Linked DNA regions of Cricetulus griseus. The protein of the gene in region 1 interacts with the protein of each later gene in a pairwise test. Links are inferred from orthologs where the notes say so. Each region holds a gene or a part of one and is shown in the gene's direction. Other genes may lie near its edges.

The links.
Region 2: the proteins of Creb3l1 (region 1) and Plp1 interact in binary tests that used the Homo sapiens proteins (3 or more experiments, as listed by UniProt). The two-hybrid records come from large-scale screens. The link is inferred for Cricetulus griseus from reciprocal best matches to the Homo sapiens genes CREB3L1 and PLP1.
Region 3: the proteins of Creb3l1 (region 1) and Pgap2 interact in binary tests that used the Homo sapiens proteins (3 or more experiments, as listed by UniProt). The two-hybrid records come from large-scale screens. The link is inferred for Cricetulus griseus from reciprocal best matches to the Homo sapiens genes CREB3L1 and PGAP2.
Region 4: the proteins of Creb3l1 (region 1) and Fxyd6 interact in binary tests that used the Homo sapiens proteins (3 or more experiments, as listed by UniProt). The two-hybrid records come from large-scale screens. The link is inferred for Cricetulus griseus from reciprocal best matches to the Homo sapiens genes CREB3L1 and FXYD6.

What each region holds. Positions count from the first base shown.
Region 1 is NC_048599.1:84,760,036-84,763,062, forward strand, and holds the end of Creb3l1 (cyclic AMP-responsive element-binding protein 3-like protein 1), read left to right. Parts: intron 1-1,738; coding exon 1,739-2,006; intron 2,007-2,178; coding exon of another isoform or gene 2,179-2,215; coding exon 2,216-2,507; 3' UTR 2,508-2,527; downstream 2,528-3,027.
Region 2 is NC_048604.1:43,613,161-43,617,329, reverse strand, and holds the start of Plp1 (myelin proteolipid protein), read left to right. Parts: upstream 1-1,369; 5' UTR 1,370-1,476; intron 1,477-2,251; 5' UTR 2,252-2,359; intron 2,360-4,169. Other genes in the region: glycine receptor subunit alpha-4, read right to left, coding at 396-463.
Region 3 is NC_048596.1:97,173,914-97,177,960, reverse strand, and holds the start of Pgap2 (post-GPI attachment to proteins factor 2), read left to right. Parts: upstream 1-1,247; 5' UTR 1,248-1,304; intron 1,305-4,047.
Region 4 is NC_048597.1:157,101,709-157,105,640, forward strand, and holds the start of Fxyd6 (FXYD domain-containing ion transport regulator 6), read left to right. Parts: upstream 1-1,132; coding exon 1,133-1,187; intron 1,188-1,764; coding exon 1,765-1,803; intron 1,804-1,908; coding exon 1,909-1,983; intron 1,984-2,674; coding exon 2,675-2,711; intron 2,712-3,802; coding exon 3,803-3,852; intron 3,853-3,932. UniProt on the Homo sapiens protein: Associates with and regulates the activity of the sodium/potassium-transporting ATPase (NKA) which catalyzes the hydrolysis of ATP coupled with the exchange of Na(+) and K(+) ions across the plasma membrane.

The sequences.
Region 1 (3,027 bases):
TTATGCACAGTGGTTCTGGTGCTCACAGTAGGTGAGCATAAGCCCTGCCTTCGGGACTAGCTCCTGACATGAGAGGAAAGACAGGGCAGGAACAGCAAGGGAAAGTCAGTACAGGGGACAGCAAAGAACAGCACGGCTTTCAGAGGCAGAGGCCGCTTCAGGTGGGCCCATGGAGGAACTTGCAGGCCCTGCTTCACACACCAGAAGCATGTATCAGACGTGGCAGAAGAGAAAGAGGAAACAGAAGAGGTCAGAGAGAGGGGAGAGCAGGGAGGAGTGTGTTAGGAGGAGGGGTACTGCAGGGAGGATAAGCAAGACACTGAGGGCCTGGAAGGGAGGAAGGGAGCTGGAAGGAGGACTAAGAGGAAGAGGGATTGGAAGCCACTCCAGGAGGGCTGTGATGGGGTGGGGTGGGAGGAGTACCTAGGCTCTGAGAGGCCTGAGGAGAGGACTGACCACACAGGGGGCGGGTGGGGGTCGCGCTGATGGACATAACCCACTGAGGGGAAAGCAGGGCACAGGGCAGGGTAGAGGGCATGTCTGAGGAAGGAGGTGGCTTGTTGAGCAGGCTGGTTTCCGGACTGCAGCTTCACACAATGCCAGGGGCCGCCTTTTCCATAGATTAGACCCTGCAGGGGAAGCTGGGAGGTAGCCAGCAGACTCTGGAGTCAGGAAGCCAACTTGTAGGGACCCCTGATGATGAGCTCTGGGAAGCAGGGCTCAAAACACTTTATTTCCAAGGCTTCATGTGAGATTCAAGTTGCTGTAAGCTGAGAATTTTTGTATAATGTCTGGTACAGGTGTCCAACAAATGTCCATTTTCCTCCCCTTCTCTGAAGGGTGAACTCGCCTAGAAGTGAAAAGAAAGATTTCCCTTTAGTATCTCAGGAAATAAATGTCATGGTAGGATTAGAGCCGGCTCTCAGTAGGTCCTGAAGGTCTAGGCCTGTGATCCCAGTTTCTCAGTCAAAGCAGGGAAGAGAGTTCAAGTTTAAAGGTTAACCAGTCAAGCGGGGCATTGGTGGTGCACGCCTTTAATCCCAGCACTCCGGAGGCAGAGGCAGAGGCAGAGGCAGGCGAATCTCTGTGAGTTCGAGGCCAGCCTGGTCTCCAGAGAGAGTGCCAGGATAGGCTCCAAAGCTACACAGAGAAACCCTGTCTTGAAAAAAACAAAACAAAACAAAACAAAACATCTACAAAATGAATTAAAGACCAGCCTAGCAACTCAGTGAAACCCTGTCTCAATATGAACTTGAGAAAAAGAGAGGCTGGAGGATGGGAGGATGGACAAGCTGGCTCAAAATCCTGGTGGTAGAGTATTGGCGTAGCAAGCCTGAAGGTCTGGGCTTGATCCTTAGTACCATGGGGGCGGGGTGGGGAGGAATTCCAGTTTTCAGTAAGCAAACCAGCATTCTTGTCCCAGAAGTGCTGCGTTTTTGTGAGCTCTTGACTTGACTGAGCACAGTTTTAATCCCTTACACTGTAATACTCATTGAATCCTTGAATCTCCCCAAGGTTGGTTCCACTATTCCCATTTTACAGATCGACAAACTGATGCTCGGCAAAATCAGAGCCGAGTGTGTAACTAACCTGAGATCACACAGCCAGGGATCCTTAGGGTTGGGATTAAGAGTCAGGCCTGTAAGATTTCAGATCCTATGCCCTTCATGTCTAGCACATGAATAGGGCTATTTGAGCACAGGGAGCACCTATTGCTCACCTTGTTCTTTTCCCCTAGTGCCCTCCCGAAGCCTACTGTTCTATGATGATGGGACGGGTTTGTGGGAAGATGGCCGAGGCGCCCTACTGCCTGTGGAGCCCCCAGAAGGCTGGGAGCTCAAACCCGGGGGGCCAGTAGAGCCAAGGCCCCAGGACCACCTCCGACATGACTATATGGACAGCACCCATGAGACCACCAAGTACTTGAGTGAGACCTGGCCAGAAGATGCTAACGACAATGGCACCAGCCCCAACTTCTCCCACCCCAAGGAGTGGTTCCATGACAGGTGAGTAGAGGGGCAAGCTCCCAGGGGGAGGGGCAGGCTCCCAGGGGAGGAGCATTTTCCTTGGGGATGAGCATCCTCTCAGGGAGCGGGGATCCCTGGTCTAGACCCAACTGACAGCTAAGTGAGGGGCATCTCAAAGCAGATTCATCCCTGGATCGTCTTCTCTCCCCAGGGATCTGGGCCCCAATACCACCATCAAACTCTCCTAGGCCTCTCCGAGACCCAGGACACAGGACGGACACCCTGGCACCCAGAAGAGGCATTCTCTTGCTCACCGACCCAGATCCAGCTCCTACCCCTGTCCTGGAGCCTTCTGCCCCAGGAGAAAGGGTCTTTCTTCTCCCCAGCCATCCCGGTCCCTGTTGTGACTGGAGTCCCTCTATGTCCCCAGGCATTTGGACTGCTCCCCTGGGCCAACCACTCTGTTCCCACTTCTTCCCACAATCATCCGTCCTCTCCAATAAACCACTCACTGGGCCACTCCTGTTTCCTTTTCCGTAGTGACCAACACGACCACTGTTCCTGGTGAGGGTGGCAGTGGTTACGATGCATTGACTAAGCACTGTTTGTATTTTGGTACTGGGATAGCAGATGAGTGTCCACCTTTAGTCACTTCTAATATGGTAGAGACTACCCAACATGCAGAGTTAAGAAAGATTCTGAACACACACACACACACACACACACACACACACACACGAACATATGCACACACAATCACACACCCCCACCTCCTACTGTACAGAGATCAAGAACAGAAATTGTTTGTAAATAATGAACCTTATTTTTTATTATTACCAATCCCCTAAGATAATGTATTTTACAAATCTCCCTTCCATCACCTCTCCCTTATTTTGTATTTTATGAAGTTAGCGCGGGCTTTGCTACCCCTTGGCTGGGACAGAGGGACACCCCACCCTCACCTGGCTTCCCCATGCCGCTGCCCAAGCTGCTGGGCCTTTTTAATTGCCAAACTGCTCCCTCCACCAGCTCAGCACATGCTTTAAGAAAGCAAAATTAA
Region 2 (4,169 bases), on another chromosome or scaffold:
GGCTCCATCCTGCTGTGGTCCTGTAGCAAACCTATGCCACCTGCAGCCTCTTTGGCAGGCATCTGACATATGTTTCTCTCATTTTAGGGATTCAGCTGGTAGGGAGAAAGGGTTCAATTACAGGACAAATGACCTCTATTTTAGACTCAGCCACCTAGCCCCTACCCAGACCCATGCAATTCAATTATACAGAAGCTCCTCTACGAACACTGGGACCCTGTATCTGTATTGGACAGCTCCTGGGTCCTGACTAAGGAGGGTGTGTCCTTCCCCCGAAGCCCTCCAGACTGTTTTTTTTTTTTGCAAACTTAGAAGAAACTGTGCCAGCTGCCCCATCTGTTACCATCAGCCCCCAGCCAGTGTTTGCATGCACCTCCTCACCCCACTGAGCTCACCTGAGTAGGACCTTCCCTGGCAGGGTCCAGAGGAGAAGGAAGAGCGTTGCAGGAACAAGAGTTGTCATTCTGCAGGGACCTTGTAGTCCTTTCTCTGCCTGGCTGTCAAGGTGAGAGTAGATATCCCTGTGGGAAAGGCAACAGCACAGAGCCCTTCTCCAGCTTGGGCTGGAATAAGGAGCCTGTGTGTCTGGGCTAGGAGTTAAGCTCTCTTTCCTCTCCTGCCTCTTTTCTGCCCTGTCCTTAGCAGTTAGGGTGTAGAACTACTCCCCTGGAACTGAACCTGACACAAATAACCACCCAGCTCCAGCTGGACTTGTCTTGGATTGAGGAGGGCCCTCAGCCTGCCGGTCAGGGAGCCAGAAAAGATTCTCTTTGGGTAGCAATTCACTCTGCAAACCCTGGAGAGTCTTGGAGGGGAGGGAGGAAGGAGACGGGCAGAAAGACGTTTCCCTCCCTCCCACATCCCCCTAGATGCACCCTCCGAAAGCAGCAATTTAAAGGCACAGTCGCCAGCAGCTGGAGTGGGGTTCCCAGCTTGTCTGAGTTCTGGGGAGGAGCTTGGACTGCTGAGCTGCTGCTTGGGGAGAGCCTGAGGTGTTAGGTCCAGCCTCCAACTCTCCAGGAGGGATGCTTACAAGTAGACAGCCTTGTTACCCCTGTGCCCAACAGCTTTCTTTTCATCCTGGAGCCAAGATGGGGTACTAAAGTAAAGTCCTAATGTTTTTTCTAAGGGAAAAAGGCCCCAGAGGGTCATGGCGGAGCCCCAGGGTATCCTAAAAATGACAGTTTCAGGTCAAATGGAGGTGTAGAGGAGGCTGGCTGCAGGGGCTGCCTTTCTGTACCATCTGGATGGAGGCATGGAAGATGGCGGCCCACAGTCTGCCCCTCTCTTTACCTGCCCAATTCTACCATTCTCCTATCCCCCTTTAACCTTGTAGTTAATTCATTCTCTCCCTTGGTTTCCCTCCCTCAGGCAATCTTTGTGGAGTCTGTCACCTGTTGTAGCTCTCAAAATCCTTCCTCCTCAGTATCCATTCCCAGGCCTGCTTGTGGGAAGGGACGACTGTCCTGGGTGGAGGTAAGGGCCAAGCATGGCCAGGACATTGGCTTTGTAAGCTTTAGAGGAATCACAGGTGGGAAGTGAGGTGGGGAGGACAGTGCTTGAAGGCACACAACCCTGGGTGGAGGAAGAGAGACAGAGTGTGACTTTGCTTTCTGCACATTTGCCCGCGCCATCTAGATGCTTAAGGAGCTCTGTTTTCTCCTGTCTGCCTGTTTGTCCAATTTTCCCCATGTATCATCTAAGGAAGCACAGGGACTTCCCCTAGTGCCTCTCCCTCCCTGCTTTGCTCTCTTCTCTTCCTCTCCCCAAACTTTTCCATCATCCACTGTTTTTTCCATCTCAGTTTTCCTCTGTTCCTTCTCTAGATCTCACCTCCTAAGTTTGTGTCCCCCTTTCTTTCCCCTCTCTTTCATTGTTTTCATTCTCTAGCTCCCTTGTATCTTCAGTCTCTCACACTTTCCTCCTTAATATAGCAGTGAAAAACCAAAGACGTTCTTTTCTTTGGTGGAAACTCTCCTACCTGCTTTGCAGAGGTTAAGTATGTGCCGGGCAGGGCTGGGGGGATCAGTGCCACTTTGTACTGATCAATTTGTCACCTGGCTGGCTGTAGTATCTTATCCAGCCTCTCCAGAAAGATATTTGAGAAGATTGAATGCTTTTGCCCGGGGGTGGGGGAGTCCTATTGCCTATATAGAAGGATTAATAACAAGTCACTCATGTGTAGAAGTGGTGCAGCATCTCCCTTTTTTGCTGTGTTATTATTAATGAAGAGGATTTTTTGAAATTACAGATGAAAGCCAAAGAAGAGAATTTTCAGGAATAAAGGCTGAAATATTGATGAGTAAGATGAGCTTTTGGAATTGGGACTGAGAATGCTATATGCTTCAATGCTTATATGGTGGGTAAACGCAAAATACTAACTACCCTAGTAGCATCTTTAGCCACCCTTTCACCTGCTCACCCTTCCCCCTTGTTTCCCTTAAGCATCACATAACCCACTTTCAGGCAGGAGCAGAACCTGGAACCTTTCAAGGCAGAGAAGCAGGCTGGGAAGTTGAGAAAAGTGTTGCACTCATCTCCTTTGTGTAATTTCCCCAGCCTCTGACAACCCTGATCCTGTCCCTTCCCTTGCCCTAACAGTACCCCCACTTCTCTCAGGTAGCAAGACAAGACCCTTAAAATTATCTGGCCATATTTTTATTTCCCTGATTTCTCTAACACTGTCTGTTCTGTCTTCCCAGTCTTGGGCTATTTTCACATGTTGCCTACGAAGTATTCTTCCCTAATCTTACCCATCTGGACTCAGAGTTCTTGTTGCTTTGACAAGCAAGACATATGGAAACACTATCACTGCCCTTAGGTTTGAGTTAGGAGATCCTTTGTGTATTCTCAGGTCCCTCCCCTTCCATCTCCTCAGCATACCACACTCTGGTTTCTGTGCCTCTCCCCCACTCTGTCAAGAGCTCCCTGAGAGCAGAGATACATTATCTGCCAAATCCACAGCACAGGATAGGCAATTAGGGAACACTTTTTAAAAGATGCACCCTTGGCACCAAGATCCTCAAGTTTACCACCTATGAGTCACTCTCTGTCAAGTCAGAATGATAAGTTTGACATACAGAGAAAGGACCAGCATGAGGCAGTGGTAATAAGGAGAAATGAGGAAGTCGTTTTTATTCACTTGCCCCTTGGGCCCGTGGCCTCACATTCAGTCATCTGGAATTCTTGGCTAATGGAAGGCATAGTCCCCTGGGGACTGGTCCATTGTTGCAGGTCTCACCTCCTCTGTGCCCCATGGGATCCCTGAGAGCTGAAAGCATGGCAGGGTCAGCTTCCTGGGAGGACAGATTCTTTCTCATGAGAGGCTGCAGCAATGAGCAAATGTCTGGCTGGTCTGATGAAGAGGTACAGCCTTCCTAGGGTGCCCAGGGGCAGACTCTGAATAGAGAAGGAAACAAAAAAGCTAAGGAAGCTGCTGCTTGATATTGGCAGCAATCAGCTGAGATGCTAATTTCAAAATCTGCTGTACTAAAAAGGAAGCCATTTCTCTGAAATGACAGTGGTGGAAGAATCCAAAATTGTGTCCATCCTTGACCTATAACTGCTTTTCCTTCTCACTACCACACTCTGATGCACAAGAATCTCCATGTTATGAAAAGGACTGTATCTTTTCCACCTTGGCAATTGGATGCTACATTGGCATGACAGCTGGCTTCCATACATTGCTGAAGTGGTGTAGAAGTTACAATAAACACCGTTTTCATATTTTTGTGTTGATAAAAGTTACTTCTATAAGTGTAGTTTTGTAAGTACTATCAGTGTAGTTTTGTAAGTGCTAAAAGTGCATTAAACATATTTTCACAAATGTTTAATTCAACAAATAGAAGCTATCAATTTCAGTCTAGTATAGTGAAAATTGCATCTGCACCCTGCTGACAAGCAGACTTCCAGAAACTTCCATGTGTGTAGCATTTCATTATTAGAATGGGTATTGTTTATAAATTCTGTGACTTCTGGGCTACATTTGAAGAGGCAAAATTGGAAAAAGATTTCGCTTAACTTCCTGGATCTATTCCAGTAACTGTGGATGCTGTGGTCCTGATGTTGCCCATTTCACTTATTAAAGTAGAGTAGACTGAGACACACCTCAAAAAGTAGGCTGTATTCACAATCAGAGAAAACTCTCAGGCTTAAGGAAATTTCGAAAA
Region 3 (4,047 bases), on another chromosome or scaffold:
ATACAGAACAGCCAATAATGAGAGACTGGAACATACAGGGAGGGTGGAATAGTATAAAAATTCTAGGCTTGAGTCAAGACATCTGCCATTACTGAGTCCTCTCCCACCTTACAAAACCTCTGCACGTGATGCAGAATGGGGGCATTGACATAGAATGTCTTAAACGCTATGGCTACAGTAATTCAAGAATCCAATCTTTCTCACCTCGGTTTACACGAACATGCGGCAGAACAGAAAAGAACCTTTCATTCGGTTGACCAGACCCCTCCAATCGCCAGACAATGTCTTAAAAAGCTAACGCACTTCCGACTCACTCAACCCTCTGGTTAACCCTAGACAAGACGCGTACTGTAGAGTGGTCAAAGAAGTGATGGGGGGGGGGACCTCACTGAGTCCCCAAGGCACCATCCCCGCAAGGGCCAGCCTACCGCGGGCTGCTCACCTCTACCCAGCGAATGAATGAGTAGCACCGGAGACAACGAGGTTCCCTCAGCGTGGGCTGCCACCCGAGGCCCCCTGGCCTACGCCCCACGCGTGTGGACTCCCTCCCAGGGCCTCCCGAGCCAAGCCGCAGGGCCGCGGGCCCCGCCCCCTCACGCAGGCCCGAAGGAGCGCGCCCCGCACGAGACTGGGAGGCTGAGGGCCCGGGGCGTCCCGCGCAGATGCCGGTCCAAAGAAGAGGACCCGCCCGCCCGGCCCCAGCAGCACTCCCGACTTACCGCGGTGCGTCTGGGGTGAGGGCCCAGGTCCGTCTGCCACCCGCCGCTCACAGAGCAGCGCGCGGCCACCAGGAAACCGTCGCCGCCGCCGAGGCCGCCGCCGCCACCGACCGCCGCTTCGGGCGCAGCGCGCAGAGGCCCGACTGCGTCACACGCCGTCCGCCGTCAGAGGCCAGCCCCGGGCGTTCCGCCCTCGCCAGCCGGGCATTGGCAGGCCGTTCCGCCACTCGAGGCCTACCGTGTTACTCATTGGGCGACGAGCCTTTTGAAACCGAACGTGAAGGCGGTCTCTGAGAAGGAGTAGAGGGGAAGAGGAGGGGCGTGAGGAATTGGGTGGGGAGAAAAAAAAAAAAAAAGAGGGATGGTGGGGAGGGACCTGGAGTCCCACCCCTTTTGCCGCGACGGTTGGCTGATAGAGACTCGCGACGTCACACACGGCCCCTCGAAGAGGGCTGGGGAGTGGCTAGAATAGTGAGCACCAAAAAGCGGTGACGTTGTGCCGAGACCCCGCCCCTTTCCTTGGAGCGCGGAGACTCGGGCTACGGAAGCTCCGGCCAATCAGAGGGAAGGCCCAAGGATGACATGGTAACTGTTCTACCCTTCTTTAGTTCAAGTCTGCGGGTAATGATGGGCAGGCTCTCAGGCCACCCAGCTGGCACTTTCGGAGCTTGAAAACCCTTTTGGGATACCTATCAATCCATGTGGCTTATCAGCAGCCCTTCAGAGACCCTCAGTCCCCACTGTTGTTCTTGCCGGTCCAAGCAAGTCTTCTCACATCCTTTCCTCTGAATCTCTAAGGTAGATCTGAGCAATGGTCTATTATAAGGCTTGATCCCAATGAGGGTTCTGCTTCAGCTGCAGCTTCAGAACCTGTGCTGTTCTGGATGGATTGGGTGCAAATGTACTGCCTTCTCCAGGACGCATTTGCTAACCTCAACAAGTTGGGGTGATGCCTGGGCGGTCCTCTTATCAGGACTTGTTACTTTGTATCTTATTTTTCTATTCTTAGACTCCTCCCTCCCCTGGTGTTGGTCAAAGTTGCGTTTTCATCCTTTTGGTGTCTGTTTCCTCCTGGGATCTAGCTAAGAGCAGAGGAGTGGGCATGTTCTAGAAATCAGACCTGTCTCGTTATTGAGGTCTCACAGAGGAGCAGGACTGTGCTCAGAAAACAAGCGTGCATACTACCTTTCCACCACCACCAGGGACAGCAGTAGACAACTGAAACGATATTTGCTAAGAATTTTAAATGAATCCCTCAGTGTTTTTGGAAGTAAAGGGAATTAGAAACATCTTAAAGATGAAGTGGTTTTGGGGTGGGTAGGGGCTGTAGCTCAGTTGATAGAGTGCTTGCCTGCCATGTGCAAAGCCCTGTATTCAATTCCCAGCACCACATAAACTGGATTTAGTGGTGCACACCTATAATCCCAGCATTTCAGAGGTGGAGGTAGGAGGATCAAATGGCGGCAAGATCGCTCAGGTAAACACACTTCTTGCCAAGCCTGGTGACCATAGTTCCCATCCTTGGGCCTTACATAGTGAAAGGAAAGAATCAACTCCGAAAATTGTCTTCTGACATCCATACATAGCACAAACACACACACACATATATGCACTCATACAAAATAAACAAATGCAATACAGTTTTTTAAATGAAGTAGTGTGAAGATGAAATAAGATAGTAAGTGGAAGAAGTGTGATACATTGTATGTGTTCAGTATATACTTGGAAGAAAAGTTAATGTATAGATTGCCTGACAGGAAGCTAGTTTGAGCATCCATCTGCAGCCACCTTCCCTGATCTAATCCCCTCTGTCCAAATAGCCCTGCTTTTCTACCAACGGTCCTTGCCTTTGCTCTGAATCAGAATGTCATTAGCAGGTAGGGTGTAATGCCAGCCTGGTATAAATGAAACTGTCTCAAGAACAAAACAGGTGACAACAATCATTAGGGTTCTTTCTATTTATGGGTTTTTTGGTTTGGTTTGGTTTGGTTTTATTTTTTATTTTTTGAAAAAGGGTTTCTCCGTGTAACCCTGTCTGTCCTAGAACTCACTCTGTAGAGTGATCAGGCTGGCTTCAACTCAGAGATCCACCCTCCTCTGCCTCCAGAGTGCTGGGATTAAAGCCACAAGCCACCAGTGCCCAGCTGCTGCTGCTGCTGCTGCTGCTGCTGCTTTCTTCTTCTTCCTTCTTCCTCCTCTTCTTCCTTCTTCTGTCTTCATTCTTTATTCTTCCTCATCCTCTACCTTCTTCCTTCCTCCTCCTCCTCTTCTGATGTTCATTACAGTAGCTTTCTCAACACCATCCCAAACCTCTGATTTTTTGGTGCTTCAGTCTGCAAATATAACTACATTTTAAGCCTGCCTATGAACATTTAGTGTCCATAAAGCCTGGCACACATTGAATATGCTTTACATTTACATATTTAATGCATAGATGAGTGAATTATTGTTTTACCTGGGAAATGATAGAATTGAAGACTTCAGAATCAGAGAACCCCAAGTTTAGATCTAGACCTAACTATAGTCATATGGAAATAATTCCCACTGCCTCTGAACTTCAGTTTTCATGTCTGTAAATTAAGGATAATTTTGCTTGACTTACAAAACTATTGGGAAAATTAAATGAGAGGAATATGACATTTGCTATAGTACCTGGTAAACAGTATATCCTCAATAAATGGTAGATATATTTTTATTCCTTAAAAATGGGGCTTCCCACTGGGCGGCAGCGGTGGTGGTGGTGGTGGTTGGTGGTGGTGGTGGTGGTGGTGGTGGTGGTGGTGGTGCACACCTTTAATCCCAGGATTAGTCAGAGGCAGGCAGATCTGTGTGAGTTCGAGTCCAGCCTGGTCTACTAAGGGAGTTCCAGAACAGCCTCCAAAGCTACTGAGAAACCCTGTCTTGGAAAACAAAACAAAACAACAACAACAACAATGGGACTTCCCATTTTAAGTAGTTTTTAAAGCATAAATTCTGACAGAGAAAGAGGCTCAGAAATGTTTCTTAAGTGAATCAGCATATGAGTATATTCACTTGAAAGTGCTAGTAGGTTTTCAGAAACTGGACTCCTTAAATGGTATGTACTTGTAGGAAGAGTGGGGAGGATACATTGAAAGAGAAATGCTTCTGTGAAGAATTTCTGGGGACCACGGTGACTTTCCTTATTAAGTATTATTCTGGTGAGCATATAAGCCGTAGTTTATAATCCCCTTGAGCCCTGATTAGGAAGAACAACTTTGTTTGGAGGCAGCCCCCTCCCTAGTCTAATTATCATAACAACCCCTTGGAGTTACTATCATCTTCCTTCATCCACTCTAAAAGCAAGAAA
Region 4 (3,932 bases), on another chromosome or scaffold:
CCTTCTCACTCTCTACTGCTCTCTGACCCTGAAAGTAATGAGTGTAACTCCATATGTCTCGGGAGTTGACTCTGCCATGTGTCCCATCCAGGTTCTCCCCCACCCCCACCCAGGATTAAGTGGTATAGCACTCAGTGTCTTCTAGGGAAGGAGGGACTGGGGGCTGATGCTTAGAAAACTTTGTCCACATTCCCTTTATACAATCAAGTCACCTTTTGAGGATGATGGCCTGGTCTTCTAAGGAAAGCTGATGAATACAGAGGAAACAGTATGAGGGGCAATTAAGGAGGTCATATATGAGTGTCAGGATTTGCCATAGAGTTTGGGGACCAGAGAGTGGCCTCCAGCCATTGACTGGACTACAGGGCTGGCACAAACACCTCCTAGAGGCTGAAGAGACTTCTTAGTGAGTAAGAACACTGACCACTCTTCCAGAGGACCAGCACCCACATTAAGCAGCTCCCAATTGCCTGTAACTCCAGCTCCAGGGGATATGATGCCCTGGATCTTCTAGCATCCAGGGACACCTGCATACATATAGCAAGCATGCACAGATACACACACAGAGAGACACACACACACACAGACACACGCACGCACGCACGCACGCACGCGCGCACACACACACACCAAATAAATCTTTTTTTTAAAAAAAAAAAAAAGACTTCCTGGTAGGCTGTTGACTGTGGGAGCTGGACCAGAGGCCCCACATTTTAATGAGGCAGAGATGGCCTGGAAGAAAGACACTGGGATGATCATCTCCCGAGTCCTTGGGGTGTTAAGGCTTTGACCCAGAAGCCCCATGCTAAATGAGTGGCTGAGCCCCTGTATGACCTCAGCCCTACAATTCCTTCTATGAAGGTCATTTACTATCATCAAACTTTCGGTTCCAGACTTATCATAGTGCCTGCTAAGTGTTCTGACTCATCTGGAATAATAGAATTGACCAGAGCTCTCCGAGAGTCTGATAAGACAGGCGACAGGTACCTTGGTCCTGGGGATCTGAAGTAGCCTCAGGTCACTTATGCTGCCAGCACAGCTGTGGCTGAGATGAGCTCCAGTTAGGGTGATAGCTTAAGGAGGAAGGTCTTCTGTCCCCAGAGTAATGTCTTCCTCCTTTATCCCAGACACCATGGAGACGGTGCTGATCCTCTGCAGCCTGCTGGCCCCTGCAGTCCTGGCTAGTGGTAAGAATCCTTTAGAGCCTGGCTGTGCCAAGCTGGCAGCCATAGCCCTTTCTGTTGAAGGTTCTGGCTGTTTTGAATGTTAGGGTCGAGAGGCAGCTTCACATCCGGTCAGGGACCTCACCATTAGTCAGCAGAGAAAAACAGATCCCAATTGAGGTGTTCCTAACTGCTCCCTGCATGGGTCCAGCTGGCCTTCTGTTAACCTCTCTAGGTACCTTGAGCTCCGGTGGACCTGCAGCCTAGACTAATTAACCCACCTTGACCATATATGCAAGTCATGAGTACCCCTTGCTCTCAGTTTCCCCATTTGTCACGAGTTGATAGACAGACCTGGCCTTTTAGAATAAATGTAGGGCATGCTGTGACCTCAGGAACCCACTGAGGCTGAGTCACATATACCATAGACCCTGGGTGTGGACCCTAAGCCCAGGAAACCCAACTTCCACAATCCCCCCGTATCTTCCCATGATCCTGCTTCACAGGGGTCCTTTAGTGGGGACAGGTTGCTGTGGGGCAGGTAAGATGTCACAGGAAACACCGCTGCCTTCCTCTTGACCATGTCTGTCTGCTTCCCCAGCAGCTGAGAAGGAGAAAGAAAAGGATCCGTTCTATTATGGTGAGTGAGCTCAGCAGCCCCCGGGGTGTGGCCCCATCCGAGAGGGACAAGCTTGTCCTCCTGGCCCTGCCCCTCTTTCACCTCACATCCCTGGTTCCTTTGCAGACTACCAGACCCTGAGGATTGGGGGATTGGTGTTCGCTGTGGTCCTCTTCTCTGTTGGGATACTACTCATCCTAAGTAAGTGTGTCCCCTTTTTCTCTGTGGCTGCTAGACAGATGGGGGTAGTGTACAAGCTTAGCCATGGTCTGCCTCTCCATGGTATCTCCAGGACCAATACAGGGCGGGGCATGTAGTAAGTGCTCAGTAAAACAAGGAAGGTGAGCAGGATGTTCTCTGCATCCCTAGGGCAGGAGCTCGGCCATCCCAGGAGTCAGATGTCATTTTCCTAGTGTTCCTAGGAAAGTGTCCCTATGCATTTCCCACCCTGATTATTTTTGCTCACCGTATGAAAGGGCAAAGTCCATCATAGTGGACAGGCATGGTGGAGCAGCTTGGTCCAAGGTAGTAGACATCTGTGGCTTGTTCTCATTAAGGTTGACCAGGAAGCAGAAAGTTCAGGGTATAACCAGAAGCAGCTATCACCTCTAACACCTGACCGCAGCAACCCACTTTGGTAGCTAGGCTACTCCTCCCACAAACAGCACCCCCACCGAGGATCAGGTATTTAGACACAACTTCCTGTGGGGTGCATCTGCCATTTAAACCATAGCACCTGGCCTCCCTTGACTCCTGCCCCCTACCCAGGGTTACTTCCTGTAGTAGTGCAGGCATCCACTGTGTGTCTGGTGGTGCCTTTGGTCTGTATAGATTCACAGTAGATTATGGCCCAGCTGGGAGCCTGACCTTGACTGGTTTCTTTGCATTTCAGGTCGCAGGTGCAAGTGCAGTTTCAATCAGAAGCCCAGGTGAGGTTGCCAAGGCTGTGGCCAACAGGGGCAACCGCAGAGGGGACAGGGAGAGGGTGTAATGTGAACCCGGTGGGCTGTCTCAGAGAGAGAATGTGGGAGGCCGAGGTATGAATCTGGGGATTTCCAAGTGACTTTGGAACAAAGGAGAGGTCACACATGGAGAGTGGGCCTCAGGTGTAAATCGGGGAAGGAATACTGAGTAAGAATGTGCTAGCATCGACCCCAGATGCTGTCCAGGAGGCCTGTACAAGACTGATCCAGACCCCAGAACATAGATGTCAATAAGGAGGCCTCTGCACTCCAGGGAGCCTCTGGTAGTGGATTAGTATTTTTCCCTGGTGCAAGAAGGGACTTTGAGAGCCCATCCCATATGAAGGGTTACACTCTGGCCCTGGACACATGGGGAAGGGCCCAGGATCAGCATAGGAAGACTTGGTGGACTTTGCTGAGCTCCCGTTGAGGGCCCTACCCTGCCTGGGGAGTAGTGGGTGGATGGGGTTGGGGGGATGGGCTGGGGGTGGGGGAGAAAGTTTGGGGGTGAGGGGAGGGAGAGGGAGAAGGGACTTGAAATAAGCTTGTTCCCTAACTAGAACTAATAAAATAAAATAAAATTTAAAAAAAAAAAAAAAAAAGAATGTGCTAGAACCTTGTCCGGAGGCCTTTGAGACAGCTAGGCTTGCTAAGAGGGAAGCCAAGGACTTCACGGCTGCTCTGAGGTGCAGGGCCTATACACTGTCTCTGCTTTTCATCTCTCTCTGAGGCTCTGTGCACTGCATAGACACCTGATCTTCCTTCTATGTCACACAAAGTTACACCCCTTCATTAAAACAGCCATGGTGGCCATAGACCTCAGAGCCTGTGGCAGGCACAAATCCCACCGGGGGCAGACATTGCAGGGCATTCCTGAGTTCTCTTTGCCTCTGTCCCTGTCAGTCTTGACTTCTCCTTTCACCTAGTGTTTGAATCCTTAAAGGGGCTCTGAGGGGAGGGGTTCTAGAAGCCCTACTTCAGGGAAGAGAATGAAGAGAATGGGGAGATGCTATGGTTTACCCTGGACACGGATGACAGTGTGTCTCCTCTTGTCTTAGGGCTCCAGGAGATGAAGAGGCCCAGGTGGAGAACCTCATCACTACAAACGGTAACTGCCATGAAGAGTGCTAGGAGAGGGGCTTCCCAGGGTTTGGGGAAGGAGTGAACTGGGTGCCATGAGCTGCTTTG